Tamandua tetradactyla: one gene and its partners. The protein of the gene in region 1 interacts with the protein of each later gene in a pairwise test. Links are inferred from orthologs where the notes say so. Each region holds a gene or a part of one and is shown in the gene's direction. Other genes may lie near its edges. The genes, in order: RTN4, RTN3 and SYT16.

Region 1 (10,145 bases):
ATTTTACAATCACGTGGTCATAAGATAAAAACTACATAGCTATACAATCATTATCAAAGATCAAGGCTACTGGATTACAGCTCAACAATTCTTGGTATTTCCTTCTAGCTATTTTAATATACTAGAAAATGGATGATGTTCTTGGAGAGACTGGCACGTTGGGGTTTCAGGGTTTATCTGGCCTGGAAACAATCTGGAGACCTTCAGTTTCCAAAATAAGAAACTTACTAGGTAAAATGTTTATAGAGTCTTAGATAAATCCCAAGGTAATCTTTAGGGTTTTCAGGAATACTGATGGTTGGGGCTTGGCATACTGTGACAATTCGTAATATCTGGCTGAAGCTTGTATAACAGTAACCTCCAGAATGACCTCTCGAATCTATTTGAAATCTCTCGGCCACTAAAACTTTAATTATTAATTGTATGCTGTATGGGGGGGGGTCACATTTAGTTATTTTTCCATGTGAGTATCCCACTACAACTTCACTTTTTTCCATTTCTTATCACCCCAAAAGGTAGTAGTTTAGAACAATGATTCATTGTTTTTCATGATAGTGTGGGTTGGCTGCAGAGTCTGAGATGGCCTCACTCATATTTCTGGGCCCTCAGCTAAATGGTTAGAATAGCAGCCTTGCCTCTCCACATGGTCTCTCATCTTCTAGGTGAAAAAGCTATGGTTCGGGCGGGCCGCGGTGGCTCAGCGGGCAAAGTGCTTGCCTGCTATGCCGGAGGACCTCGGTTCGATTCCCGGCCCCAGCCCATGTAACAAAAACGGAGAAACAGAATACAATAAAACAAGAAAAAATGTTTCCCTTTCTTCCTTCCTTCCTTCCTTCTATCCTTCCTTCCTTCTCTCTGTCTTTAAAGATGTTTCCCTTTCTTCCTTCCTTCCTTCCTTCTCTCTGTCTTTCCTTTAAAAAAAAAAAAAAAAAAAAAAAAAAAAAAAAAAGCTATGGTTCACAGTTGTCGAAACAGGTTTGCTGGCATTCAAGTCCCATCTTTCTTCTATGATTGCTGCATTCACTCTGAAGTTCATACCCCACATGTAAAGATGAGATACATCCATTCTATGCCTTTTAACTCATGTAGAGGGGTATACATGATATAAGAACAATTAATCTGTTCTATGTATACCAGATTAGGTATCAATTCAACATTTTCTGTGAAGTAAAATATTTTAGAAATGGAATGAATGGGCTATTTCTCTAGGTAGTGAGTCTCCCTTTACTGAAAATGTTCAAGCATCTTTGTGTCTGTTTTCTTCAGTGGTGTATCCCCAGAGCTTCGAACAGTGCCTGACACATAATAAACACCCAATAACTATCTTGTCTGAATGAATCAAGCATAAATGAAGCCCAAAATGGATGTTTCAAGTACCTTTTGATGTATAAGTAACCACCCCAAAAGGTAGTAGTTTAAAACAATGATTCATTGTTTTTCATGATAGTGTGGGTTGGCTGCAGAGTCTGAGATGGCCTCATTCATATTTCTGGGCCACCATCTAAATGGTTAGGATAGCAGGCCTGCCTCTCCACTGGTCTCTCATCTTCCAGAATATATAGCCCTGGCTCTTTCACAGGGCCTCAGCATTCCAAGAGGGCTAAAGAGGAAGCTGTGATACCTCTTTCTGTTAGACATGGAACTCACTCCCAGGGCATTTTATTTGTCAAGCAAGTCACAAAGCCAACTCAGAGGAGTAGGGAAATAGAAGACCCCTCTTGATGACAGTTGCTGCAAAGAGATTGCAGCCACTTTTAATCTACAGATGACCACCTTTTAAAAAACTCTGCAGGGAATTCTTGTAATGGGAGAGATTAGATAAACTGACTTCCCAGAGTCCTCCCATCTCTGAGATCTATGATTCTACCAGGCTGAATGGATCTTGTGCAGTGTTCTAAGACAGAACAGTTACTAACCAGTGGGTATTTGGAAAATTAAGCTACTCCTGGCAAAATGATTCCAAAGATAATTTGCTGAATAATTATTTTTAAACCACTAATATGATCTAGAATTTGTATTCTTTTCTTAACTATCCTAAACGCCCACTAGAACTTTCTTGTAACTAACTATACCTTTAATTTTGGTATAGCAGTCATATTCTCCTTTCTTTATGTTTTGTTAACCATTTTATGAACACTGGGTAAACTCCTGTTATTTAACCATCAAATGCTTAATATTTTAGAGGTCATTGAGATGAATAAGATAATTTTAGTCTTTCTTCTGCATCAGAAGAATGTTTATATTATTGTCCCAATATTCACTGCTATTAAAGTCATAAAGCTATCACATTTCTGTAATATATATTACATTCATACCTGCAAATTTTAATAAATTAAGAATATCCCTTTGAGACTGTTTTAGTAGGTACAGATATGGTACCGAGCTCATCTGAATGAAGATATATCATATAAGCAACTTACAGATGACATATGGAAATCCTTTGAAGTTTCCCATTAATGTGTTCCAGAACAAACATAGCAGGAAAAGCAGTATGGGAACGAATAAAATGCTAATAGCTTAATTTAGAAAAAGTTCATAGCATAAAAATAGTATGTTTTTGTATGTGTATACATTTAGTTGAAAATCATGTACATTTTAGATAATTTCTGACAAACACTTGAAACGTTAATATTTTAGAGTTGTATTTTAGTCATTATCACATGAGTCCGTTTTGTTTAAAATTTCTAATTTGGCATTCATTTACCAGCAAAATAAGCCTACTCTTCCTAGTCCCTTCAAAAAAGCAAAAACAAACAAGCTCAAAACAATTCACAATCAGCCTGTAGAAATAGATCCAGTTTATCTTTGTAGAACAATGTGCTAAGTCTTGCATGTGCCATTGATAATTAAATGACAAGGAAATCCTGTTCTACTTGTCCTTTTCAATACCCCAATTTAGCCTAGGATAAAATTAATTAGCTGGAGTTAAGAATTTGTTTAAATAACCAGTGATTGCCATTATTACTCTAGAGCTGTCCAAAAAAAAATGAGCCATGTGCATTTAAAATTTTCTAGTATCTGTATTAAAAAAGTAAAAAGAAACAAGTGAAATCGATATTTTACTTATCCCAATATATCAAAAATATCAGTTTCGACAGGTAACCTTACATAAATTTGTGAGACGTTTTCCATTCTTTTTGTTTGGTACTCATTCTTGGAATTTCAGTGTGCACATTACACTTACAACACATCTCAATTCTGACTAGCCACATTCCAAGTGCTCAATAGGTGCATGTAGCCAGCAACTGAATTTTGGACAGAGCTGCAACTACCTCACTGTAAGCAACTTGAAAGCAGGTGATCTTCCTCTCCACGGCCTAACAGAGTGGGCACCTCAGAAAGTTCAAAGGGCTCTCTAGATCTCTGGCTGATGACTCTTGTGTTCTGCAACTACTTTCTTTAAACTCTCCAGTTTTGGAAAAAGTGACCTGGGGGATCACGATCATTCCCGCTTAACAAACGAATGACTCTGGGGCTTTCTGACTCCCAGAAACGCCTGCATCATCTGAAATGTTGACTCATGAGCCTAAGGTGACTGAAAATGTAATGTGAACCAAATTTGCCTTCCGAGGCATTTTTCTGTGTCCACTTTCCTCCTCTCCTCTCTCTTAGGGTGACTCATCCTTCCATCATGTGAGAGTCAAGCAGCAGAGCCTAAAACCCTCTTGGAAGGACAGGAACGGCAATTTCAAATGGTGGTTCCCGGAGCTCCAGACCGTCCTCAGCTGTTGGCTTACCTCATGCCAACCTCTGCAGTTTAGACTGGGAGTGGTCTTAAAACTAAAAAAAAAAAAAAAAAAAAAAAAAAAAATTTAGGTGGCTTGGGAATTTGGGTTTAAAAAAGTATAATCTTTTATTTCAAAATCTTTAAAAATGTATATTTAAATTATGAGGGCCTACTTCACCATCCCGTTAGTTAATACCCCATTCTGGGTTTTTCTTTCCTGGCAGGAAAGTTTCCACTTCCCCCTCCCCCTTTCCCCGATAACGCCCTTCCGGTGGCGCGCCAGGAACCTCTCCAACCCCTCCGGGTCCGCAGCCCTTTCCCCTTCGCTCTACTCTAACGACAAACAAGACCTCGAACTGCCCTGCAAGGCCAAGACCCCACCCGGACCCACAATAACCCAAGGTGAGGGGCGAGGCTCACAGTCCCAAATCCCGCCCACCGAACCCAACCCCAGCCGGTAAGGGCAAGGAAGCGCAACAAGCCCCGCCTCCTCCCAGCACTTTCCCTTTCCGTTGGCCCGGCTGGTTGCCATCTTCTCCATCCCGGAGCCGATTGGCTCCCTTCCTCCCGCGCCAGACCCTGCTTCTCCCCTCCAGGGAGGTGAGTCACGCCAAACTGGGCGGAGAGTCTGCTGGCCTCTCTCCTTCGTTCATCTGGGCGGCGGCGGCTGCGAGAGGGGACGGGGTGGGTGGCGCATCACGGGCGCGGAGGCAGGAGGAGCAGTCTCATTGTTCCGGGAGCCGTCGCCACTGCAGGTCCCTCGGCTCGGCCGGCCCAGCCCCTCAGTCCTTCCCAACCCCCACAACCGCCCGCAGCTGTGAAAGAGAAGCGGCCCGCGCCGCGGCAGCTGCAGCAGCATCCCCGGTCCGCCAGCCATGGAAGACCTGGACCAGTCGCCTTTGGTCTCCTCGTCCGCGGACAGCCCGCCGCGGCCTCAGCCCCAGTTCAAGTACCAGTTCGTGACGGAGCCCGAGGACGAGGAGGAAGAGGAGGAGGAGGAAGAAGAGGACGAGGACGAGGACCTCGAGGAGCTGGAGGTGCTGGAGAGGAAGCCCGCCGCCACGCTGTCTGCAGCTCCAGCGCCCGCAGCTCCCGCTCCCCTGCTTGACATCGGAAATGACTTCGTGCCCCCGGCGCCCCGGGGACCCCTACCGGCAGCGCCCCTCGCCGCCCCGGAGCGGCAGCCGTCCTGGGACCCGAGCCCCGCGCGGTCCACAGTGCCCGCGCCGTCCCCGCCCACCGCTGCCGCAGCTTCGCCCTCCAAGCTGCCCGAGGACGACGAGCCCCCCGCCCGGCCTCCCCCTCCTCCCCCAACCGCCCTGAGCCCCGAGGCCGAGCCCGCGTGGACCCCTCCCGCCGTGGCCCCCGCCGCGCCCCCCTCCACGCCGGCCGCGCCCAAGCGCAGGAGCTCCTCGGGCTCCGTGGGTGAGTGCCGCGCCCTCCAGCCTCGCGCCCCTCCCTCTTTTGTGTGCCGCTCCTCTGAGCCCTGAGGGGGCTTTGTCTGCCGAGGTCTGGGTGAAGGCGCCCTCTCTCCCCCGGGAGGCGCGGGAAGAAGGGTGGGATGGCGGAGGAAGCCCGGGCTTGTTCTATTTGGTTTGTCTTGGTTTCGGGGAACCACGTGCACCCCGCGGGCTCCCGATGTTCTTCCCTCTGGTCCCCATTTCACTGCATCCCGGGGCTTGGGCCCCCACCCATCGTTGGAGCTGGGTGTGTGTCGAGCAACAAGGGTTGTGAGTTCGTTGGGCTGGCTTGGTTTCAGGGTAAGGTTGGGCAGGCCTTGGCGCCCCAAGCTTCTGGGAGGGGCTCTTGTCCACCCGTCTGGGTTGCTCCTCTAGGAAAAGGTGCAGCTTTCGCTGCCTGTCTATTGTAGTTCAGCCCTGGACCCCTCCCTACCCCTTCCCGGCGTGGGTGGCCCCCTTACGCTTTACCCCTCCCCCTCTTGCGCTTGTGGGGAGCTGGCCCACTGGAAAACGTCCACATTGACCCAGCCGCAGTGAAGGGAGAGCGCCTCCAGTGGTGTGGCGTGTGGAGAATGGGAAAGGAGAGAGAATTCTGGCTGAGTCCTGCCACCGCCCACCCCAGGTTGTGGTGTGGCGACTCCCCACAAAGCCAAACCAAAAACCAAGCCAGGGAAAGGGGATCTGAGCATTGGGTTCTATGGAGGCACAGTTCTGACAAGGTCTCAACTGCAGGGTTACAGGAATTAACTGTTACTGTGGACGGGTTCAACTTCTCGATGCACCTGAACTGAATCTTGGCGAAAAAAAGGAAAGGCAAAATGGTTGACATTCTTAAGAAAGAGGAAACCTGTGGATTCCTTGCTGGGAATCAGCCCGTTGACCTTGTGGCAGATTTACCGTGAGACCTAATGAAATGTATTGAGACCGACATTTTCATAAGTTGGTTAGAAATACTATTTCTTAGAAGTTAAATGTTTTAGGCTGACAAACACAAATCTAGGGTTTGAAAAAATGGTTTTCAAATCTTTAATTCGCATGACTAGCTGATTTTATGTTATTTTTATTTGGGGGAACATTGTTTTATTACATTCTTCATCTTAGAAAATTAGTGTGAAAGGAAAAAATTAAGTTTGTTAGTGATAGAGAAATTGATTAGATGCATTCATGAGTAACTTTTTGCTTTGGGGGATAGATTGCACTAGCAGTAGGACCTTTCTTTATAGATCAGGGATCAGGTAGCCTGTTGAGAAATGTCCATAGCCTTCTAGAATTTTAGGGGTGGTTCATTTTCTTGAAAAAGAAAATCAGTCAGATCACACAGTAGTTTTTTTTTTTTTCCTTCATTTCACTCCTGTTCCACAAAGCGGAAATAAACCGATTGTGATGATGCTTTTGAATAACGTAACAACATTTTGATATTGACAATAGCCCAAAGCACTACTCAAAACATTCATCAGTACACTAAAGGTCTTAGAAGATGAGTAACTCAACCATTCTTTTTTCTGTATGACAAAGATATCTATGAGGGAAAGTAAGGTGAAGTAGAAAAATATAAAATTATAAGAAATTTGCGGAAAGGAAACTTAAAAGCATGTTAACTTGTTATTTTGGATTCCTGCTTGGGAACTAAGAATTCTGTTCTTTGAATAGTGGGAATATAGGAGGTGACAGCATTCTCTTGGAATCTTGACTGTTGGAATCCTAAATTTAGAAGATAGAGGAGAGAATATTGCCTGTTCAGGAACTCTGTTTCTACATAGTTCCTAATTCTTTATCGATGATATTTCTTTGGAAACTTTTTGTTCCTTTAGTAAATGCAGGAACATTACAATTTTGGTCATGGATAATTAAACCCATTTCTTTGAGTCCAGATTTCTTAACAGTTTGTGGGTTCATTCAGCAAATTATTGATTACTTCCTAAGAAAGAAACACTGTTCTAGGTTCTTGAGGTTGGCAATAAACTTTAGACACTTGCACTCCCATATTGGGTTACAGATAATAAGCATACAAATAAGAAACTCAGAATAGTGTTAAGTGCTATGAAAAAAGTAATCAGGGTGATGGAGCATCATGTAGATGTGTGGGAGCTTTTTTAGGTAGGCTGACATTGAGAAAAGCCTTTTTGAGGAGTGAACTTGAGCTGTGGAGATCAAAAATGTTCCAAGCATCTCCTGGGGCAAAGGCCTTTAAGTAGAAATGAGCTGTTTGCACATTTGAGATTCTGTAAGAACGCTATTGAGAAAAGCTAGAGAGAAGGTGGTATTGTAAGGGAAGGGTAAAGAAGAGGTAGGCTTTACTCTGGCCATTTGGTGTCTCACAAGTCCATGGTACAAAGCTTTTTTTTTTTTTTTTTAACTAGTATAGTTTGTTTTAAAAATATGCTTCTCTAAGAACTCTGTGATTTTAGAGCAAAATTGGATATTCAGAGTGACTGAGAGGACCTACATGAGTAAAGACAAAGGAAGTGAGAAATAATGCCGAGCGTGGTTAGGAACATAGCTTAGCTGGAAGAGGATTTATGTTACTGAGTATAGTAGATCCCTGACATTTATGCATTTGACATTGCTGTTCATGCTTTTTTTTTTTTTAAATAAACTTTGATTTCCATCAGGGGATAAGTTGTAATTTTGCTGCTTGTTGTGCCTGGAGTATCTCCTTTGCAATATAGTAATTGAAGTGAGACACACTTCTCTTTCACTCGATGGTGGCTCTTCATGGAGAAGTGTTTGAAAAGATTAACAGTAGGCTTTGAGGACAGAAATTGATTTGAGAAAATTGCTAACATTATCTTGGAAGATGACTTTGATCTGGCCTCTGGACAGGTCCCAAACCAGTGTTAATTAAGACTGAAAATGTGTGGTGGCTCTGGATTCTGAGGGGTATTGAATGCCAAATTAAGGAACGAGGATTTTATTATACTGCTTTAATACACTCTCTGCTATTCACAATTGAGCTTACTTTTTAGTTCGTATTATGAAATGTTTTTATTGTTTCCAAAATACAGTTATTTCGTTGGGTTTTAACCCCTTTCCTGAATTATTACTGCTTTAGGCATCAGGAAGGCATTGAAGATTAATTGACCTGAGGCATGGCATCGTGAAGGCAGTGTTAGAAAAATGAATTGGTGACAATATTCAAGATAGGATGGAAAGAAAATGGGTGAATTCTTTAGAAAGCTTTTGCCATAGTTCTGAGACAAAGGAAGATTTGAGTTCATTCCATGAAAATGAAATAGAATGGAGGAATTCAAGAGATAATAAGAAGCATGATTTGATTAATTGACTGAATCTCTTATTTTTACAGTTAGGTTACAAACAGGCTTTATGTAAGAATTTATAGCACTCTAAGGCTATGGATATAAACACAAGAAAGAATGTTAGTGCTTATTAAATCAATTTTGGAAACTTTAAATTGTTAATCGCAATGAAAATATATATAGAATTGAATAGTACTCTTAAGTGTAGGTTATGGGTTGGGGCTTAAAAATTATTAGTTTTTTTATCATAAATGCACTTCTTTATATTGGCATCAGAGGTACATACTAGAGATTTTAAAAGATTTTGAATGATACATAGTTTAAATTTTAAGTATCCATTCTTTATGTACAGTGAACAGTGATAGGACACTTCTAAGAAGTGGATAATGCTAAAGAAAGCAGTGTCACACTATCCATTCCCTAGAAAAGGACAGCAAGGAATTGAAGTGATGAATTTAGAGATTCTTAATCATTTTTCTCATTAAGCAATTCCTAATTTTCTGAGTAGGAAAAAGTTGGGTAGAAGTGTTATGCTCTTAATGGACAAGGTGAATTATGTTTCAGATAGCCTCCTATCTTTATTTAAGCTCAGCCTTAAATTTATGGTCCTTTTTTTTTTTGACTTGCAAGATCCCTCGAATCCTTTTTAAAAAGTGATGAGTATATTTGAAACTTGATAAAAATCTAATCATGTAGAACAGTGCTATATTACTCTAATCTTAGAACACTTGCTATAATTTACTTTTCTCCCATCACGTCAAAAATTTTCACCCTCTCCCGAGGGAGAAAACCCTAACTTCCACCCAGTTGCTGAATCCGACTCAGATTCTTTTATCTCCATCATATCTGGATATGAATCCCTATGAACTGACCATTTAAAAAGATCAGTTATTTGCTCCTCCAACCCCAATAACGTAATTGGTTGGTAGAGCAGGGACAACATAGCTGGAAAAAAAAAAAAAGAAAGAAAGAAAAGAAACACTAACAGAATCTATTCCATAATAATGGCATACTTTACCACCACTATCCAATATGGCAGAAAAGAAACAATAGAAAATCAGAGCAGAGAAACAAAGAATAGATTAGACAACTGAAAATCAGATAAAAGATATTAGAGTGTATTCAATTCTTAGATATAAAATGTTTCTGAAAAAAAGGAGTATATCTTCAGTTGTTCAGTAGTTGATTGTTTTATGTAATTCTGTTCCCAAAATGCCTAAAAACAATTGATATAAAACACTGCTGATTTAAGACCCCAATTTAAATGGCATATTTTTAAAAGAACTTTGTTAGGTTAAAAGATAAAAGAACTAACTAAACAAATGATCTTTCCTGATTGTTTCTTGAAATCTTTGATTAAGTGGTAGTATTGCATATATACAATATTTGTAGTACATTATTTTGGACTTTTTATTCCTGTTTATATAGACTCTGGTAAAGTCCTTCTGGGGATGACAGCACCAGGGATGGGAACTGTATACAAAACAACTTGATAAAAACTTAGTTGCTTTTGCATACATGAAGATGGATTATGAAAGTCAGAATTTAGAAAGATAAGTATTTCATTTTATATTTTATAGGCCATTTATGTTACACATAGATCTGCTATAAGGATTAGGGCTGTAAGACATCACTTTTGAACAAGCACTGCAAGATTGCCAACTGTCAAGATCCCTTCTCATTTACATACTTTTGTTTCAC
Region 2 (10,145 bases), on another chromosome or scaffold:
AGAAGATTTTGTATTTTTAATAGAAATTTTGGGCTTGGAGAGTTCTAGAGATTTAGGATAGGACTGCCAACTTAATTTCCTAGCCTTATTTCAGGTGATATACTTACATGGAGACTTCTGAATATTTAGAGTTTAATAAACTATGTATAAGCTTGGAGCTTAGTACTTGATAAGATTGGGAGCATGCTCACAACATCATTGTAGGGTTTTAACTTTTTTTTTACCCCTTACCCCACCATACTTTGGTTTCTTTTTTAACAAATCTACTAGATGTATAAGTCTTGTTTGTTAATAATTAAAGTAGCACCATATTTTTAAGTGATTAGAACTCTTAATAGCGAATATGTTCAGTTATTTCCATTATATAATTCTTGTGTTCTTTTTTAATTTTTTTATTAATTTTAAATTTAAAAAATATGACAACAAAGAAACACAAGCATTCTTAATATATAATCATTCTGTTCTACATATATAATTAGTGATTCAAAATATCATCACATAGTTGCATATTCATCATCATGATCATTTCTTAGAACATTTGCATCAATTCAGAAAAAGAAATAAAAGATAACATAAAAAGAAATAAAATGAAAACAGAAAAAAAATTATACATACCATACCCCTTACCCCTCCCTTTCATTGATCACTAGCATTTCAAACTAAATTTATTTTAACATTTGTTCCCCTTATTATTTAATTTTATTTCATATGTTCTACCCATCTGTTGACAAGATAGATAAAAGGAGCATCAGACACAAGGTTTTCACAATCACACAGTCACATTGTGAAAGCTATATCATTATACAATCATCATAAGAAACATGTCTACTGGAACACAGCTCTACATTCAGGCAGTTCCCTTCAGCCTCTCCATTACATTTTGAATAACAAGATGATATCTACTTAATGCATAAGAATAACCTCCAGGATAGCCTCTCGACTCTGGAATCTCTCAGCCATTGATATTTTGTCTCCTTTCACTCTTCCCCCTTTTGATTGAGAAGGTTTTCTCAATCCCTTGATGCTAAATCTCAGCTCATTCTAGGGTTTTTCTCAATCCCTTGATGCTGAGTCTCAGCTCATTCTAGGGTTTTTCTCAGTCCCTTCATGCTGAGTCTCTACTCATTCTAGGATTTCTGTCCCATGTTGCCAGGAAGGTCCACACTCCTTGGAGTCATGTCCCACGTAGACAAGGGAGGGTGGTGGGTGTGCTTGTTGTGTTGGCTGGAGAGAGAGGCCACATCTGAGCAACAAAAGAGACTCTCTTGGGGGTGACTCTTAGGCCTAATTTTAAGTAGGCTTGACCTATCCTTAGCGGGGTTAAGTTTCATATGAACAAACCCCAAGACTGGGGGCTCAGCCTATAGCTTTGGTTGTCCACACTGCTTGTGAGAATATCAAGAATTCACCTGGGGTGGGTGTTGAATTTTCCCCCATTCTCACCATTCCCCAAAGGGGAATACTTTGCAAATACTTTTCCACTCTCTGATCAAATCACTCTGGGATTCATCGGGGCATCACTCTGGACAAACCAACAAAATCTCATGTCCTTTCCATGTACTTACATTGTTCAACCAACTATCTACATAAGTTATATTAGGACTTGCACTAGTCAAAGTATAAATTTTGTACCAAATAAACATTTTTTGCTTTAGTCTCACACATAAGTTGAAATTTTATCTTTAGTGTTCTTAATGAGATTTTTGATGAAGGTTTGTTTTGAGTAGTATTGAAAATCTCTTGGAGTGAGCTATAAAATTATGAAAAAGGAAAGATGGTAGACATTTTCCAAGATACAAAATAATCCAGGGTTATTCTACCAGGCAGTTTTATGGTAGGTGGTATTTTAAAAATAACCTTTAAACTCTCTGGAGTGCTCTGCCATTTTGCCAGGCTAATTGGGAGAGTCTTTCTTTATGGAAGTTGTGCAAAAGACTTATTGAATTCTGGACTTCTTTTTATGTTTAATATTTTCACGGCTTTATAAACTAATTCCAGCCCAATTTTTTCCGTTGTCTTAGTACAAATCAGTGCTATCCAAATTTGTTTGACTTCCAGTTAGCCAAAGAAATTTCTTTTGCTGAAATTCTAAACAAGATCGCTAAAATTCAAGTATAGATGGATGGTAACTTTTTGGCTACATATTGGAAAGCTTAATTGACCATAATGAGAGCTAGCACCTGCATTTACAGTCATTGAGGAACTAATGCAACATCATGCTCTTTACCTTTGAATTTGCCCCCCAGAAAAACACTATCTACCCCAAATATTAGGGCATGATTAAAATTATTTTGGTATATATTATAGATATTCCATATTAAAGAATCTTTAATAAAATGTTTGAAGTCTTATCAGGAAATCATGGCATTTAGTACAGGACTTATAGGAACTCTGGTATTAGGGCTTCTAACCTAATCTAGTTTTATCTCAGATTATTATATACCTTACTGGGGAGGAGTATTTAGAATTCAAGGAAGATAAGAAGGATGCAAGACTTAGTAAACTGACAGATTTGTCTTCTGGCAAAGCTTAGAACATTTTACCATGCTTTTGTTTTGGTGATGTGTGCATTCTTTGATTAACATTCAATTTAGGTTCCTTTCCTTTTTATTTCATCAAGCACCACCCCATCATCATCATCATTTTATATATATTGGTATTGCTTATTGTCTGTCTCTCCTTCTGTATTGTAAGTTCCACAAAGGCAGGTAGGCAAGTATTTTTTCTCTTTTGTTCACTGTTCTAAACCCAATTTCTAAAACAGTGTCTGGCCCATTGTAGGTACTCAGTAAATATTTGTTGAATTATTACTAATTCATTTTGTTGATTTTTGTCTGTAAGATGGCAAGTTTGGAGCATCTGAAATCTGTCTCTATAAAACATACAGGCTGATCTTTCACTGTGGAATGGAGTCAGTTTTGCTCACCTCAAAGTTCCATTCCTGTTCAGAGGGAGGCATTCCCAAATGGTTACCTTAACCCAAATCTAATCCATTGAACGTGTCCGTGATCAGCAAGATTAATAACAATATGTAGCTTAGATTACGGGATATTTCTTATTTAAATGTAGCCTATAGTATTTAAACTTGAGGTTTTTAAAGCTATAATAGGGCTTCATTTATATTATACCTTTAATCCAACCATTCTGAGTATTCCACACTATATTATGATGGATATAAAACCTGTTTACTATGTTAGAACTTACTAGGATTTGTAGCTTACTTAAAATATTTTCTATCCCACTGTCCAATTTGTACCACCAAACTTTTAACAGTTTTTCCTCAATTATGAAAACTTTGTCCGCCCCCAATACCCAAGATTATAATTACACAGTTCTAAAGGTCAAACTGTATTATATCAAATTACATTGATGTATCAAAAAGGGGGAAACTTTATCTGGCATTTCAAAACATTTTTATAATAGTGAAATTTTTTATATTGCAATAAGGTAATTATTTTCATCTTTAATAAAATAATTTTGAATAGTCATAATTTTGCTCTTGTTTAATATTATTATTCAGCCTCTTACCAGCAAAAGAAAACAGAAGCTGAATAATGGTGTTCTCAAAGGAATTTTCCTTTTACATGGTTCCAATCCTTCATACATGCTTAGGATATTGCTGCCCTGATTCCACATGGATCTCACTTGACCAGCCTGAATCTTTGATTCATTCATTTGGAACTATTTATTTAAGACCTAGTTTGTTCCAAGTTCCAAAGATATGCAATGTGCAAGAAAGACAGTGCCTGCCCTTGGGATGATTGTTTTTATCTTTTCCCAATAAAAAGTTGCTGGTTTGAAAAGTTGGAAAATAATGTGGTAAATAAATAGTTACTGTGGTATTAATAACTGATAAGGCCTAATTAAGGTATTACTTTTAGAAGGATATTTTAAAAGAATTTTTGAAGTTAAGATTATCTTAACCAAAGAAACCAAATTGAATGGTTCGGTTTTGGTTAATGTGGCAGGTTTTGGAGCAGACCAGTTTTTCCTTACCATTTAAGTCATCTGTGCATGCGATGAATTGTCCCTGTGGATCAATTAGGATCATTCTAGTCTCACTTTTAGGCTCAAGAAGGGTTCTCTGTACTGCCTAGAGATCTTTTGGCCACTTACTTTTTTCTTAGATTACTGTCAAACTATGACAGTAGAGTTACAGACAGAATGTGTTTTCTGAATGGTTCTGAAAGGTTCAACTTCAGATGACTGTATCAGTTCTTCATATTATCAAAATGTTTATTTTTGTATGGATTATGTTGTTTCTTAATAGTTCTCCCCCCACCCCAATAACAAAAGACAAAACAACTTCCCCACATCTCCCAGTCTCACTAATCTTGTTTATGCTTTAACTCAACAGTGAAAACAATTATACAGATTGAAAAGTATTTGCTGTGAAAATTTTTCGTCATTTGCAATTTATAGCATGATAATGGCTTTCTGTTTCACTGTTGGCAATGTTATGCATGTCTTGTAGGGCAGCTGTTGATCATTGTTTTGTTACATATTTGTGTCTATATATACATCCTGTGTGTGTGTATATATTTATTTATATATAATTTTAAAAAACGAAAGCATGCTGCTTGGCCTGACTAGCTAATGTGTAACTGTATGCAGTAAACAATTGTTTTCTTTCAAATTCTGACCATAGAAGGATTGAGCTCTCTTTGCTCTGATGAGGCACCTTCAGAAATTATGACTTCCTCCTTTTTTTCATCTTCTGAAATAGAAAATATTGACCTTACAACACTACATGGAGAAAAAAGCAAAGCGTTAAACAGCCAGCCTATTTTAGCCAAAGAAGGGAAAGACTGCTTGGCTCTTCTAGATATGAAAAAGATGGAAAAGCCTCAAGCAGCAAGTAAAGACATAGCCAATCCCCCAGTTTCTACTGAAGCAGGAGTTCGTTGTAACCAGCCTTCCATTCCAGCCAGTTTCTCAGAGCATCCTGCTTCCTTCTCAAAGGAATTTGGCCAGATGAAACAGCAAGTAAATAAAGATCAAGAGTCCAAAGACCCAAATGAGGAACCAAGTAAAAATGATAAAACTGCCTTGGATGCTGATGACGGGTTCACTTTTCTAACAGCCCAGAAACCACGCCCTGAGCAGTCTAAGGCTGAAGGCATTCATACATATTCCTTATCCCCATCTGAAATTTCAGGAGGTGGTATTGAAAAAGATTCCCCTGAATCACCATTTGAAGTAATTACTGACAAAGCAGCATTTGATGAAGAGTTTAAGGAGTCATATAAGGAGAGCATAAATGATTTTGGTAGCTGGGCAGTGAACACTGATGGAGAATCTTCTGCAGACATTACAGAAACTAATGACAAAGTATATCCACTGAGAAATAAAGAAATAGGGCTTTACCCAACCTCTGCATTGCTCACTAGACAGTTTTCACACACAACTGCAGCCTTGGAAGAGGTGTCTAGATGTGTGAATGATATGCATAACTTTACTAATGAAATATTGACTTGGGATCTGGCACCTCAAGTGAAACAACAGTGTGATAAATCTTCTGACTACATCACAGAAACTGTAGGATTGGACATGAGTAGATATGATTTAGAAATTCCAATTGTAAATCTTAAAAATAACACTCATCAGAAAATTCCCATATGTTCTGTTAATGGGAGCAGTCCCATCACTAAATCAGCAAATGATTGGACAGAAGCATCTCTCCCACAAGAAAATGCTATCATTGAAAAAACTACACTGGATTATCTTCATTCCACAAAGGAAGTCAGTACCAAGGGAATGCAAGGCAATATGCAGAAACAAGATGACATACTATCAGAATTATCTGGGTCTCCATTGGAGAAGTGTGTGCCTTTGAGTTCTAGGGTGGCCATGGTGAAAGTGGTTTTACCTAATGACCACCTAAAAGATGACATGAACTGGCAGAGCTCCATGTTGGGAGAAATAACAGAGGCTGATAGTTCTGGTGAGTCCGATGACACAGTAATAGAGGATATCACAGCAGATGTGTCATTTGAAAGTAACAAAATTCAGACTGAAAAACCTGTTTCCATTCCAAGTGCTATTTTGAAAACAGGTGAAAGAAAAATCAAAGAAATTCCCAGTTGTAACAGGGAAAATAAAACATATAAAAGCTTTGAAGAGTCCATCAGTGTCTCTAGACCACAAGTTCAGCCTGATATCCTTGGAAGGAATCCAGTTGGTGAGGGGGAATTTTCACAAGTATCTGATGTGAATATCCCTTCAGAAAATGTGAAGCAATCAGCTAATATGAGTGAAGTCGCTCCTGAAAAGCCTGTTGTAACTAAGGACCCAAAACTTTCTTCAGTAGCATCTCCAAATGTCTTTAATGAGACAGAATTCTCACTGAACATGACAACTTCTGCCTGTTTGGAGTCATTACATGGGAAGAAAATTGTTAAAGATGTAGATGATTCTTCCCCAGAGGACCTGGTAGCACCCTTTACAGAAAACAGAGAGAAAGGAATATTGGTTAAAGGTAAAGGAAGTGCCTTTGAAGAAGTATCAGAGAAGGCAGACTTGAAAACAACTCTTCCTGTAGGTATCTGGCATGAAAGCAATTCAGATGGTTCTGAAGTTAAAGACATAAAATACAAATACTCTGAACAAAGCAAAGTAACAAATGGAAGTGAGCATCGGGATTTTTTCCTTATCCAAGGTACTTCAATAGCATCTCTTGATTTAGAACAGGAAAAGCTCACCATCAGAGCCCTTAAAGAATTAGGTGAAAGACCAGTCAAGAAGTCAGTTCCTGCACAAGATAAAGTAGAATCTCCTTCTGAAGAAATACTCAAACAAACTTTATCATTTGCTCCAGAGACTTCTTGGTCGCAGAGATCATATGTCATCCTAGAACATACAAACGTCAAAACTGAATCTAATCTTGAGATTTCCAAAAAGCCCACTGTTATCAAAGAAACAACTAGAGTAGGTGTTATTCCCAGCCTTAGCAAGACTGAACTGGTAAACAAGCATATCCTAGCAAGACTTCTGACAGACTTCTCAGGTAACCATTTACATTAGAAATACTACATATGGTTAATTCTGCTGATTGATTACTTATCAGAGTGCTATTTTTCTTAGTCTCTGATAATAGAGTTACAAAACTAGAGCTCAAGTAGAAACACATTGTATGTAGGGAAAAGATAGGTTATTCTTTTTTTTTTTTCAAATGGGTGCTTGATTTGGTTTCCCTAAATCAATTATTTACCTGAACAGTAGACCACTTGGTAAAATTGATCTTTCCTTTAAAAAAAATTTTTTTTTGAGGTCCAGTTATATTTTAAAGTTTTCCTTTCCTAATATAGTTAGATACCTATAGGTATCTAAACAATATAATGATTGCTACTTTTAAGAATATCAGGCTCTTATTTGTTTATAAAGCATGTTTGAAAATTTCCATGATAGTAGCACTGCTGATCGTCAAGTTGTTTTTTTTTTTTATTTTTATTTTTATTTTTTATTTATTTTTCTTTATTAATTAAAAAAAGAATTAACAAAACAATTAGAAATCATTCCAATCTACATGTACAATCAGTAATTCTTAATAACATCACATAGTTGCATATTCATCATTTCTTAGTACATTTGCATCGATTTAGAAAAAGAAATAAAAAGACAACAGAATAAGAATTAAAACAATAATAGAAAGAAAAAAAAACAAAAAAAACAAAAACAAAAAACCTATACCTCACATGCAGCTTCATTCAGTGTTTTAACACAATTGCATTACAATTGGGTAGTATTGTGCTGTCCATTTCTGAGTTTTTATATCCAGTCCCGTTGTACAGTCTGTATCCCTTCATCTCCAATTATTCCTTCTCTTTTTTTTTTTTTTTTTAATTAACGGAAAAAAGGAAATTAACCCAACATTTAGAGATCATACCATTCTACACATGCAATCATTAATTCTTAACATCATCACATAGATGCATGATCATCATTTCTTAGTACATTTGCATTGGTTTAGAAGAACTAGCAACATAACCGAAAAAGATATAGAATGTTAATATAGAGAAAAAAATAAAAGTAATAATAGTAAAATCAAAACAAAACAAAACAAAACAAAACAAAAACCTATAGCTCAGATGCAGCTTCATTCAGTGTTTTAACATGATTACTTTACAATTAGGTATTATTGTGCTGTCCATTTTTGAGTTTTTATATCTAGTCCTGTTGCACAGTCTGTATCCCTTCAGCTTCAATTACCCATTGTCTTACCCTGTTTCTAACTCCTGCTGAACTCTATTACCAATGACATATTTCAAGTTTATTCTTGTTTTTTTTTTTTTTTAATGTGAACCTTGTGAAATCTATTTAGCAATCAAAGATAAAGGAATTCCTGTAGGAAAAGACACAGTAAATGGAACTTTTAATTAATTTAGCCCTATACCACAGAGATTTTATGCTCTGAAAGTAGGTAACCACACTATAGAACAGTTTTGTGAGTAATACTTAAGAGACCATATGTATCATTTTACTTTGAACCTTATATAATTCTTCAGGTCAAAACTCATTGGATGGTATTTCTCCTTGTCCTCTTTAGACAAGGGGGAAGTACCTTGTCTAAATAGAGGTACTTATTTAGAAACTATAAGATTGAACATGAGTAGATTTAGAAATTCCGACTGTAAACCTTAAAAGTAACACTTATCATAAAATTACCATATGTTCTATTAATGGGAGCAGTCTCATCACTAAATCAGCAATAGTAACTCTCCCCCCAAAAAAAACTGTCATTAAAAAAACTACACCAGGTTCACATGAGTTAGGATAGTTATTTTACCCTGTTCTTATAGGCTTATAGAAAATAAAGTACTCTGTAAATTCTAACTATTATGCATTCTCAGCTGGGTTATTGACAATATGTAAGAGGAGGAAACGGCCATGGAAGTTCAGGATATTTCTCACCAGTCAAAATTTAATAATTAGTAGATTTTTTTTAGATGATAATTAAAGAAGACCGGTATACTAAGACTAAGAAGCTGAAAGATCTGATTGCAGATTTTAAAATTGGAAACTTTTTAAAATTGTCTTACTTTATGAATAAATCTTTTCAAATGGAGACCAACTCATAAAAATGTATCAATCTTTTATTTTAAAAAGTATATCTGAATAATTTTCCTTTCTAACATAAAAACAGTTCTGCAGTTATGTTCTTCCTGAAGCTGTTGGAAAAAATTTTTTAAATTTTTTTAAATTTATTTTTCTTTTGTTATTTATGATATATTGTACACAAATTCCTAATGAAGCCTAAATTAATTTTTTAATTTATTTATTAATTTAAAAATAAACAAAATAAAACATACATAATCAGTAATTCACAATATCATCACCTGGTTGCATATTCATCATTTCTTAGAACATTTGCATTAATTCAGAAAAAGAAACAAAAAGACAATAGAAAAAGAAATGAAACGAACACAGGAAGGAAAAAAAAAAAAGATTATACCTATCATACCCCTTACCCCTTGCCTTCATTGATCACTAGCATTTCAAACTAAATTTATTTTAACATTTCTTCCCCCCGTTATTCATTTTTATTCCATATGTTCTACTGGTCTGTTGACAAGGTAGATAAAAGGAGCATCCGACACAAGGCTTTCACAATCACACAGTCACATTGTGAAAGCTACATCATTATTCAATCATCTTCAAGAAACATGGCTACTGGAACACAGCTCTACATTTTCAGGCAGTTCCCTCCAGCCTCCCCATTACATCTTGAATAACAAGATGATATCTACTTGATACATAAGAATAACCTCCAGGATAATCTCTCGACTCTGTTTGGAATCTCTCAGCCATTGACACTTTGTCTCATTTCCCTCTTCCCTCTTTTGGTCAAGAAGGTTTTCTCAATCCCTTGATGCTGAGTCTCAGCTCATTCCAAGATCTCTGTCCCACATTGCCAGGAAGGTCCACACCCCTGGGAGTCACGTCCCACGTAGAGAGGGGTAGGGTGGTGAGACTGCTTGTTGTGTTGGCTGGAGAGAGGGGCCACATCTGAGCAACAAAAGAGGCTCTCTTGGGGGTGACTCTTAGGCCTAATTTTAAGCAGGCTTGACCTATCCTTTGTGGGGTTAAGTTTCATATGAACAAACACCAAGACTGGGGGCTCTGCCTATAGCTTTGGTTGTCCACAC
Region 3 (10,145 bases), on another chromosome or scaffold:
ATAAAAGTAGTAAGGTAGGTCAAATACCCATCATCAAATCTAATAAACACCGATATCTTTATCCATACTCCATTTCCCACCTGCATTTGTTGATTAAGTGCCTCTGTTTCTATCAAAAGCCAACTCTTCCATTTGTTCTCTTGCCACCTCTGTCATAGATATACCAAATATCCATCCTCATTTGCCCAGAAAATGGTTTACATTTGTTGGTCTAACGTATTATGGACGAATAGTTCCCCAGGTTGGATGATAAACTAAATGGGCACCTTAGTCATAGAGCAAAGACCCACATATGGAATGGTCTGTTTCTGGGCTTGTTGGTGAGTCAGGTCGTCCCTGTGTTGCTATCACACTGTCTGAGATACGTTACAGGAGCTCCTGAGCTTTACAATAAACCCGATACATGGTAGGACAAGTACTTCCTTTACTTCTTCTTTAGAAGTGATTGGCTATTCTTGGCCCCTTACTGTTTATTTCATGTGCATTTTAGAGTCAGTTTGCAGACTTCTACAAAATCCTGCTGGGGTTTTGAATGGAGTTTCACTGAGTTTCTGGGTCCATCTGAGGAGAATTGACATCATTACAAAGTCAAATCTTCCTCTTCGTTAACACGTATCTTGCTTTATTTGGTTTTCCTTTAATATCTTTCAGTAAAATTTCACAATTTTATCCATCCAGTTCATACTCATATTTTGTTAAATTTTTACTATATATTTTATAGTTTTTAATTTTTATTTTAAATGGTGTATTTAAAAAATATCTTCTAATTGTGGTGTGGTTGACTTGAATAGTATTCATATACGCAGCTATTTTGTGAAACTTTCCTTTTATTTATGATAGTTTATGAATTTTTAGAGTTTTTGATGTTGACAATCATGTCACTTGCAAAAAATGCAAAAAGTTGTTTCCTCCTTTCCAATCCTTTTGCCTTTCAAAAACTTTATTGACTTGTAAGATGCACATATCATAATATACATCTTGATACATTTTCACAAAATGAACCCACTTATTTAACTAGCACCTAGATCAGGAAACAAAACATTATCTGTACTTCAGAGGCCCCCAGTGTTCCTTTCTAAATACTACTTCCCCAAAGAATAACCCTCAGGCCTTGTGATTTTAATATTTTTTTCTGGTTGGTCTTAAATTGACTTAGTTCATGCAAAGTTCCCTCTCTCCAGCGTTATCACTTTTGCCCTTTCTGCTAGAGAATATTCCCGGTAACATACAAACATGCTTTATAATCATCCATTCTGAATACTTCTCCCTTGACTGTATGTCCTTTTCTAGAAATGCTTCATTTTGCTGCTCTACTTTTCAGCAAAACTATTTGAACAAATTTCCCATAGTTAATGTCTCTACTTCTTTACTTTCTAGCTTTCTTTTCAACTCTCTTTAATCTAGCTTCTGTCTTTGGGGTTCTACTGTGACAACTCTCGTCCAAGATTACAATGACCTCTATGCTACCAAATCCAATAGAGAGCTCTGTCGTTAGTACTCATCCATCTTAAAATGCTTCCTTCTCAGGACCTCCATTTATTCATTTGTCTGATGACTTATTTAACGCCTCTCTCTCTATCTAGACTCTAAGTCCCTCAAGGGCAGGGATGCTGTCTAACTTTTTCACTGCTCTGTCTTAGCATCTAGTATAGTGTCTGGTAGATGGTGGATCCACAAATGTTTGTCGCCTGGGTCTTAAGGATGGCAGTCTATATCCAGTCAACTTTGTCTTGCAGGAACCTGAAATTCAACACCTCCAAAATTGTGCTTTTAATCTTATTCCACAAACCAATTCCTCCCCTAGTGCTCCCTCTCTCAGTATACACCAGTACCGTCCATTGAGCCGGAAACCTTGACTCCTCTCTTCTCCCCATCCCGTTCATCGCTCACGTGTGGAAATGCTACTGCCTAAGTAATTTTTTTGAATTCATCCACTCAACTCTATCTCCATTTTCATCCTTCTGGTCTGCCATGATGTTGAATAATTGTAACAGCTCATGAGCTCCTTTCCTCCTCCACTCCTCCGGTATTGCACCCCTCCAATCGTTCTTCTATGGCAGCCAAGGCTATGTAGGTCTTTTAAAAGCACAATCCTATTTAAATAATCCTCATATCACAAATGTGGGGTCATATACTTATTCCCCAAAACAAAAACAGAGTTAGCACAGGGTAAGCAGGATAGTAGAATAATGCAGAACTTTAACAAACACAAATCACTTGGTAAGTACTTTGTAATTTTATACTGTTTTCATGTTGTAACATAATTTAATTTTAATATCACTATTTTTCCAAATCTGCAAAGCATCCAATTATTGTGTCTTCTGTAATTTCCTACCTATCAGTTTGCTTTCTCTTTCTACACCTACTTTTTCCTCAAATTGGAGCTATTTTAATAATAAAGGGCAGATTTGCACTTATCAGTAGAAGGAAATGGATAAACAGAACTATTTATCTAGCTGTTGTCTGGGATTGACACTGTCTGCCAGTCCATTAATCAACATTCACAGTCTTATAAAAACATTGAAAAGAGAACTCCTTAGGCCCCCTACATTAATATTAAGGATTGTTAAAGTGACCCAAAGCCAATAGTTGTTTCCCTTCCTTTTTTAAACTTAGATTTTCAGCTGGTTAGGTTCCTAAAGAGCTCTGTGCTTCAGTGAATGGAATTTAGTTGCCTTATAGTGAAGAACTGAAACCTGGGTTTAAAGTGATCACGAAATACCTTCTCTTCTCCATCAGTTGGTGCCTAAGGAGTCACTTGTAGCAGGGCTCGACCAATTGAAGGACAAATTTATAAAGTCCTTTGTTTTTGATGACGTGCACTGTTTTTAAATTTGAGCGCAAAAGGGTGTGACTACTTTCCTGTTTCCCAAATTAGCAAGAGTAGCAGAACAAGATTAATAGGTGAGTTCTTTCTACTTAAGAAGTTGACTGATTTTTTTTTTCTCCTTACAAAAAAAATTGCTTCTTTGGAGTGCAAAAAGCTTTTGCTCATTCAGTGTCAAGGTCTTTTACACTGATTAGGAGTGAAGTCACTGTTCCCACTGTTTGTAGGACAGAACAGTCTGATTGGCTGCTTGTTGCAACACTGAAAAGTCTCCAGCAGATTCCTCTATTCAGGACCCACTAAAAACCAGAGGCCTCAAGGAAGTAGAGCCAAATAGCCCTCTTTTGACATAAGACCATAAACACAGAAGGGAATGATTTCTCTTATGAAAGCTTTGCACAAAATAATCCGCTGCTTTCTTTAGTTGGCTTACACCAGCTTTCTTTCCTTCTTAGGTGCTGGTGTTTCAGAAAGTATCACTGGAATTGAATTTTCTGTCTAATATTGTGCAACAGGGTACCTTATTTTAAATGGGCACAGGGAGATAGTAGAGTGGAGCATTTAAGATCGTGGGTTCTTGAACCAAATGCTTGGATTTGACTCTTGACTCAGCCACCTGCTAACTGTGTAACCTTGGGTGAGTAACCTATCCTTTCTTTGCCTCAATCTCCTTATCCATAAAATGGGGGACCATAACAGTGACTTCCACAGAGTGTTGTTATGAGAAGTAAATTGATTTATGCATAGGGTTTGGCAGTTAGTAATTGCTATTACCAGTTATCGCCCATCATCATTATCACCACCACTATCAAGATTAAAAAGGGAATGGCCAAAAGTTCTCCTTTAGCTCTTCTGGAGGCACTTGAGCTAGTTCTGCCTGGGGTTAAAGTCTGTGGATGGATGAGCCCTTGCACATGGAGCCAAATTATCTTTAATAAGTGGTTACCTGGGGTTTGACAACAACAACAAAAAGCCGATTTTGGGGGAAAGGACCATGCTTTAGGGAGTTTTGATAGAAAAATAGATCTTACTTCTACCTATCTTTTTTTTAAAAGCTATAATGATAGAGATAAAACTAATAGCCCTCTATATAACATTACTGTAATCGTCTCTCACTTTTTTTTGCCCTCGTTAGTTCCAGGTGTTAGGCGCACATTCACTCTACGGGGCTCAGGGAAAGGTCCTGGTGGCCACAACATAGAAAGAGGGATTTGTGGCCACCAAGGACATACAGCTCAGACCCAAAGGTTGATGAATGAGTGCAAGCTTTTTAGAAGAGGAGAAATATCATGGAGAGGCAGGGTACTGATTTACCGTGTGCGAGGAGAAGCCTGGGCCAGCCTTCTCTCATTCTCCCCGCCTTGAGTTCCAGACACTGCAAGACTGGGCTGGGGTCTTTGGTGGATGTGAAGAGAGTAGGAGGGACCAGGGAACTGTGGCTGTGGGCAGTTTAGGTTGGCGGGATGGAAACAGGACTACTACCCAGCATAAAAGAGGGGACAGGTAGACCCCAAGGCAGCAGATATAGGGCAGGTTCAAGGGAAAGACAGAAGGGTCTCTGAGTTTCTTTTCACGTTGCTCATGGCATGTCACAGGTCGATAAGAGTGCAAGGATTCAAGTTCCCTGTCCCTTCCGCAGCTGAGCTGCTACCTCACCCCTTAGGCACTGGAGTGGGGGTTCCAAAAGGGAAGGGGTGGATGGTCTTAAATAGAGTCAGGAATGTTTTCATAATGATAAAAATATACAAACTTAGCCTTCTACAGGAAATACAATTTTTACTTCTCTTTGGACAAAAATCTGAATTCTTTGTCTACAGTGTTCCTTTATCTAGAGCCAAGTTTTTACAGAGCCTTGAAATTCATTGATATATGAAAAACCGAGGCTGCTGTTGACAGAAATTGTGTATGTTAGTAAATTATGCATCATAGTAGCAGAAAAATCCCAAGCTTCTGTGATTGCATTGAACGCTTTCCTGGCTGGGGTGCTGTGAGTGAATGGCAGGACGCTGGCTTTGTGTGGGGGGCTGGGGGGGGGGGCGGTGACTGGTGAATGAGGAAAATTAGCTTTGCTGGGCTGATTTTTCTCTTTGAAAAAGGCCTTGTGCCCAAGTGTCATATGTATCGGTTTGCTTGAATGGATATGAAATATCTGGGGAAAATAAATATGAGTCCCAGGAGTACAAATAAATATGAGTCTCTGGAGTACAACCCCTTGAGTGTCTTCGCCTCTTCTCACTAGAAGGAAAGGGGGTGACGCTTGCCTCTACTTGTGCCCCCCTGGGTTTTTGGCTAAGGAAATTTTCTTTTTTTCTTTTTGCTTTTTAATATTCCAAGAATCATTTCATTTTTTCTTTTGGCTTTAGAGGGAACCAGAGTGTTTTATTTCCTGATGACCATTCGAGAACAGGGTCCTTGGATTTTCTTCCTTACCCCCCTCCTCCCGACACACGCACATGTGCCACATCCACACGCCACTAGCTGCCTCCGACTCTTTCTCACACACCTCCTTTGCTTTTTTCTCTTTGCAGGGAAAACATTTTCACCTTTCATTTTGCCCTTTCAAATTTAAGCATGGACTCTCAATTTAAGCCAACTGTCCTTTGCTGCTGCTGTCGATAATACGATATTAGGAAGATTCAGAACAATGGATTTTGCCTCACCACTGGCTCACACTGGGTGGTTTGAGCAGCAGCAGCTTAAAGTGACTGCCTGTGGGATGGAGCTGCTGTGGCTGGGTAGATGCACGGCAGCGCTGAATGTGAGATGTGGGGCTGAAGGGACCAGCGACCCTTACAGAATCCTAAATGACTACGTGAAAAGCAGAAACAAGACGAGCTGTTATCAGGAAGAGACGATAAAGACAGAATAATTTATTAGAATAGGGAGCAAGATGAAAGGAGAGATAAAGAACCAAGCCAGAAAACGTAATAGCCTATAATCCCAGGCTAGGAATGAACTGAAGAAGTCAATCGTGAAAGATTAAAAGGATAAGGTTATAGAGATGCTTTGAATATTGATGATGCTCATTTTGGTAGATGGTAGCCAATTAGTCATTGTTGACTATTATTACATAATTATGTGCCCATGTTTGGACATTTGTGTGTTGGTTTCATCTATTATTAAGGGTGTTTTGGAATATATGAGAACAAAATCCCTGTAGCAAGCGGCAGGATCCCAATTACAATGGATAAATGCGAAAGGGAAGTTATTGGCTCATAAAACAGAGAATCCCAGGGGTAAGACTGACTCGCCTAGGTCGGATCCAGGGATTCAAATGAGAATCTCACCTCTCTTTCCCTCTGTCTTCCTTCCGTCTTCCCTCCCTCTTCGCTTCTACCTTTCCCCTTCTCTCCTCTCTTTCTGCATCTCTGCTTCTCCTCCTTAGCCCCTTCCACCCCAGTAAATCCTGTCCTTTCCCTTCTCTCTTTCACTCTTCATCCTCTGTCTCTCCTTTCCCTCTGTCCCCCCTGTTCTCCCCTCCCCACTCTGGCTGATCTCTCTTCCAATCCCCACAGGGGACTCTCTCTTCCTCTGCCTACTTTTTATTTCCTTCTCTATCCCTCTTTCTTTTCCCCCATCTTGTTCCTGGCTGTATTGCCTCACAGACTCACTTTATTCTAAGGCAGGTTCTCTGCTGTGGTGACCTCCCTGAGCTCCACGTTATCCACCTGAGCATTCCCAGTGGAAAAGGACTTTCTCTTTCACCAGAGTTTTAGCAAAACGTCTCAGGATTGCCTCTCATTTGGCTGACCTGGGTGCTGGGATGTGCTGACAGGCCTCAATTCGGAATAGGGAGGTGGTATTCCTTAGGAATCGTGTGGACTGATGTTCAGGAAGGAAAGTGTGATCACCAGAAGAGAGGGAATTGAGTGTTGGGCAGGGAAAAGTAAGGCATATTACTGTTCCTGTTGATAATCTACTGGTCGTTACTTGCTGTAATAAAAGACCTCCAAATCTCAGTAGAACATAAAATCGAAGTTTGTTTCCCATTTTCACCACAGTCCAAGCAGATGGTGCCGCTCTCCGTGAGGCTTCAGGCGGTGACTCAGGGATTGGGTCTGTGGCACTGCTGAACTGAGTTCTCCACTTCCAGCTGCATGAAGGGAAGGGAGAGAAGATAAAACACATGGTGTTTTATGGCCCCATGCAAATAGTGTGCATTGTTTCTGAGTGTATTCCACTGGCCAGAACCCAGATTCTTGTTCCTGATCTAACTGCAAGGGGATTTGGGGAAAGGTAGTGTTATTATGTGCCCAGAAAGAAAATGAACATGTTTTTGGGGAATGCATACTGCTGTTGCTGCTATACTCAGGCTGTTTGGATAGGCGATTGCATGGCAAGTAGCCAGAACTGAACCCATGCAAAGTTTATGCTGGGTATTAATGAGACATGCATATAGGCTCTCCTCAAAAATGCCTTCCATCCTTCCTGTGCTTCCAGAGTTTGTCTTGAAATGCTACTTTCTTCACGAAGGCTTCTAAAATGGCACTGCATGTAAGAGCTTGAACCGTGGAACCAAACAGCATGAGTTGAACTCCAGCTCCCCACTTTCTTGGGGCAACCCTGGTAAATTAGCCTCTTTAAGCCTTTGTTTCCGCTTTCCATATATGAGGCCAGGAAATAGAATTAACAGAAATCCAGAATTTGAAATGCATCCACATTGCTCTGGTGGTTTTGACTCCCTATAATTTTGGCTATGATTTTTCTTAGCAGTTCAGTGGTGTTCAGAGAGTCAGTGGAACTTCTGGGTATGTGCTGCACTACGGGCTCCCGTCCTCTGTGTGCTAGCATCTTAACAATTTCTAGATAAAGGGAAATTCAGCGGTCACCCATTCTATTCTAATCTCCTCGCTTTACAGAAGAAGAAACTGAGGCCCAGAGAAGATCCCTGATCATGCACACGGCCTCGCTGTGTGTTTCGTGGCAGGGCTGGATATGGATCCCACGCCCTGATTCTGCATCTTCCAGCACGTGGCTCCATTCGCCTTTTCTCCTGTCTTGTGATTTCAGCAGATCAAAACCTGGCAGCCTGAAATGAAGGCTCCTCATTTCTACTCCACAGTGCAAAGGAAAGCCTGCTTTCCTTTTTTTTCAGGTTGTGGGGGGCCCCCACTCAACCTCAAGTGTAGATATTTTTCCGTGTTCTAGTTGATCATCTCCATGGAAACCATAGAGACCGTCCTATCAACAGAAATTGTGGTTTGAAACTTGTCGGTTTTGCAGAGATGCTGCTGCAACTCAATGAGAGGTGATAAAGACATAGGTAATTGCGGTGGAATAATACTGCTGCCAGGAAGATGACTGAACTCCCACACAGAAGGTGAACAGATGGCATATTTATTGAAATTCATAGGCTGGGAGGTGGAATAATTTAGCTGATGGCTGGGCATCCTCGCTGCAAATTGAGAGGCCGTGGAAGAAACGAGTATGCCGCTAGATGGCACGATGATCTAGGGCCCAGGGTTTGTCTCTTCACAGAAAGGGAGGTACGCATTCAGGGGAGACTGAAGACCACTTCAGTTCACTTCCTAATTGGCCCTACAAATCCTTCCTGAGGTTGGGTGGAAAGTCACCATTTTCAAAAGCTTAAACTCATTTTAGTGATAAAATAAATAAGTACTGCTCAGGGCTTTTGCGTGGAGAAAAGGCAGTCAAATGACAGGGTGCTGAATCTAGATGGGGCCAAGGCCAAATGCAGGCTGTCTGGACCACTAGTCACCGGGGGCTCTAATCGACTAATTGGATGTCTAATGGCCCAGAGACGTTTGAGCCTTGCCAGGTACTGCGCCTCAGCCTCACCTCTTGCAGAGCAGAATGGCAAAACGCAAGCAAAGCAACAACACTCGCCTCCCAAAACTCATTCTGGAAGCTGATGCAGCTGGTAACATCATGTCACGGGAAGTGTAGAAGAACCCATCGTAGCCTAGTGGGAAGAGATGGAAGAAATTATGGGGTTGGAAAGGTAGGCTGATAACAAGTTAGCCTCTGAAAACCTTTTTTCCCTAATGGGGAATGCCCCTGGTTTCCAAATTCAGAGCACCAAAAAGCTTTGTCCGTGCCTTTGGGATACTCACAGTCTTGTGAGGTTGTGTGGGTTTGATTTCATGCCGAGGTTTGACTTCGTAATGTATCCGTTTACCCACCCAACCAATATCCATTGAGTCTATGCTTGTTCACGGGTATAACCTTTTCTGTGCCTAAGTTTTCTCAACTGAAAAATGAGGATAAAAATTTGTCTCTTGGGGTTGTTGTAAGGATTAAATGAGCACTTTTATACAACATAGAACAGTGTTGGGCAAATACAAGTACTCAATAAATGTTAGTTTATTATAAAATAATAACTAATGCATGTAAATATTTGCCACCACAATACCTACTGCTGTATCACTCCTGCTGTAGTATTACGGTTGCATGTGCGAGTGCTGTGTCCCTGCTGCAGCCACTGCACTGCCATTGCTAGTACTGTCACTGCGATTGTAGTATGACAGGTATTACTGTCACTGCTGCTTTATCGCCACTACCACTGCAGTATCACTCCCACCTCTGTGATTTTGAAGTTTGGAGCCACTGTTCTATCCTAATTGCAGAAAATATCTGATCTTGTCAATTTAAGGTAAATTCATTCTCTTCTGGATTTTTGAGTAAATATCAGTGAATTCAGAAAACTCCCCCTTCAGTTTTCCTTCTGGGTGAGGTAACCTCCTGGCACTTTGTGGCTGGCCCTGCCCTGGGGGCACCCTCCCTGGGGGGTATTGTCGTGATTGTCATCTGTTCTTTGCCCTCTGTCCTTAGGCATCGCCGAGGGAGGTCTCGGTGGCGGCTGCATCCTTGGGCCTGTGGGCCTGGTGGAGGCAGGGGATGGGGAGGGCAGACCTGAACGAGAAGTTTTCAGGTGGCCTCTGCCTCAGGCTGCACCTGCGGCCTTTGTGGGGCTGAGCCAGGCGCCTCGCGCCAGCTCTTCCCTCTCCCGCTGCTGTGGGGACCAAGATGGACGAGAACCCCCTAAAGGCTTGCAGCCTCTTGAGTTCCATGCTGGGAAGGAAGGCACCAGCCCTACTGTCCTGGGCCCCCCCAGGCTTAGGGAGGTCTTAACAGGTAATTCTGTACTTAGTCTCCGCTCCCTTCCCTACCCCTCACCAGCAGAAATAGCAAACTCCAAATCTGATTCTGCTTTCCTTTCCCAACTTCTCAAATCAAAACTCATCTTTTATGGAGGAAATACCATAGAGAAATGGAAAAGAGCAGGGAAACACCTTTTTTGGGGGCAGGATATTGGGAGGAGGTTGGAAGGAGACCTCAAGTATATTGTCAGTGATGA

Evidence for each region.
Region 2: the proteins of RTN4 (region 1) and RTN3 interact in binary tests that used the Homo sapiens proteins (3 or more experiments, as listed by UniProt). The link is inferred for Tamandua tetradactyla from reciprocal best matches to the Homo sapiens genes RTN4 and RTN3.
Region 3: the proteins of RTN4 (region 1) and SYT16 interact in binary tests that used the Homo sapiens proteins (3 or more experiments, as listed by UniProt). The link is inferred for Tamandua tetradactyla from reciprocal best matches to the Homo sapiens genes RTN4 and SYT16.

Annotation. Positions count from the first base shown.
Region 1 is NC_135343.1:27,391,118-27,401,262, reverse strand, and holds the start of RTN4 (reticulon-4), read left to right. Parts: upstream 1-4,317; 5' UTR 4,318-4,602; coding exon 4,603-5,152; intron 5,153-10,145. UniProt on the Homo sapiens protein: Required to induce the formation and stabilization of endoplasmic reticulum (ER) tubules. They regulate membrane morphogenesis in the ER by promoting tubular ER production.
Region 2 is NC_135335.1:10,964,662-10,974,806, reverse strand, and holds the start of RTN3 (reticulon-3), read left to right. Parts: upstream 1-3,452; 5' UTR 3,453-4,692; coding exon 4,693-7,006; intron 7,007-10,145. UniProt on the Homo sapiens protein: May be involved in membrane trafficking in the early secretory pathway. Inhibits BACE1 activity and amyloid precursor protein processing. May induce caspase-8 cascade and apoptosis.
Region 3 is NC_135338.1:2,892,217-2,902,361, reverse strand, and holds the start of SYT16 (synaptotagmin-16), read left to right. Parts: upstream 1-3,134; 5' UTR 3,135-3,464; intron 3,465-10,145. UniProt on the Homo sapiens protein: May be involved in the trafficking and exocytosis of secretory vesicles in non-neuronal tissues. Is Ca(2+)-independent.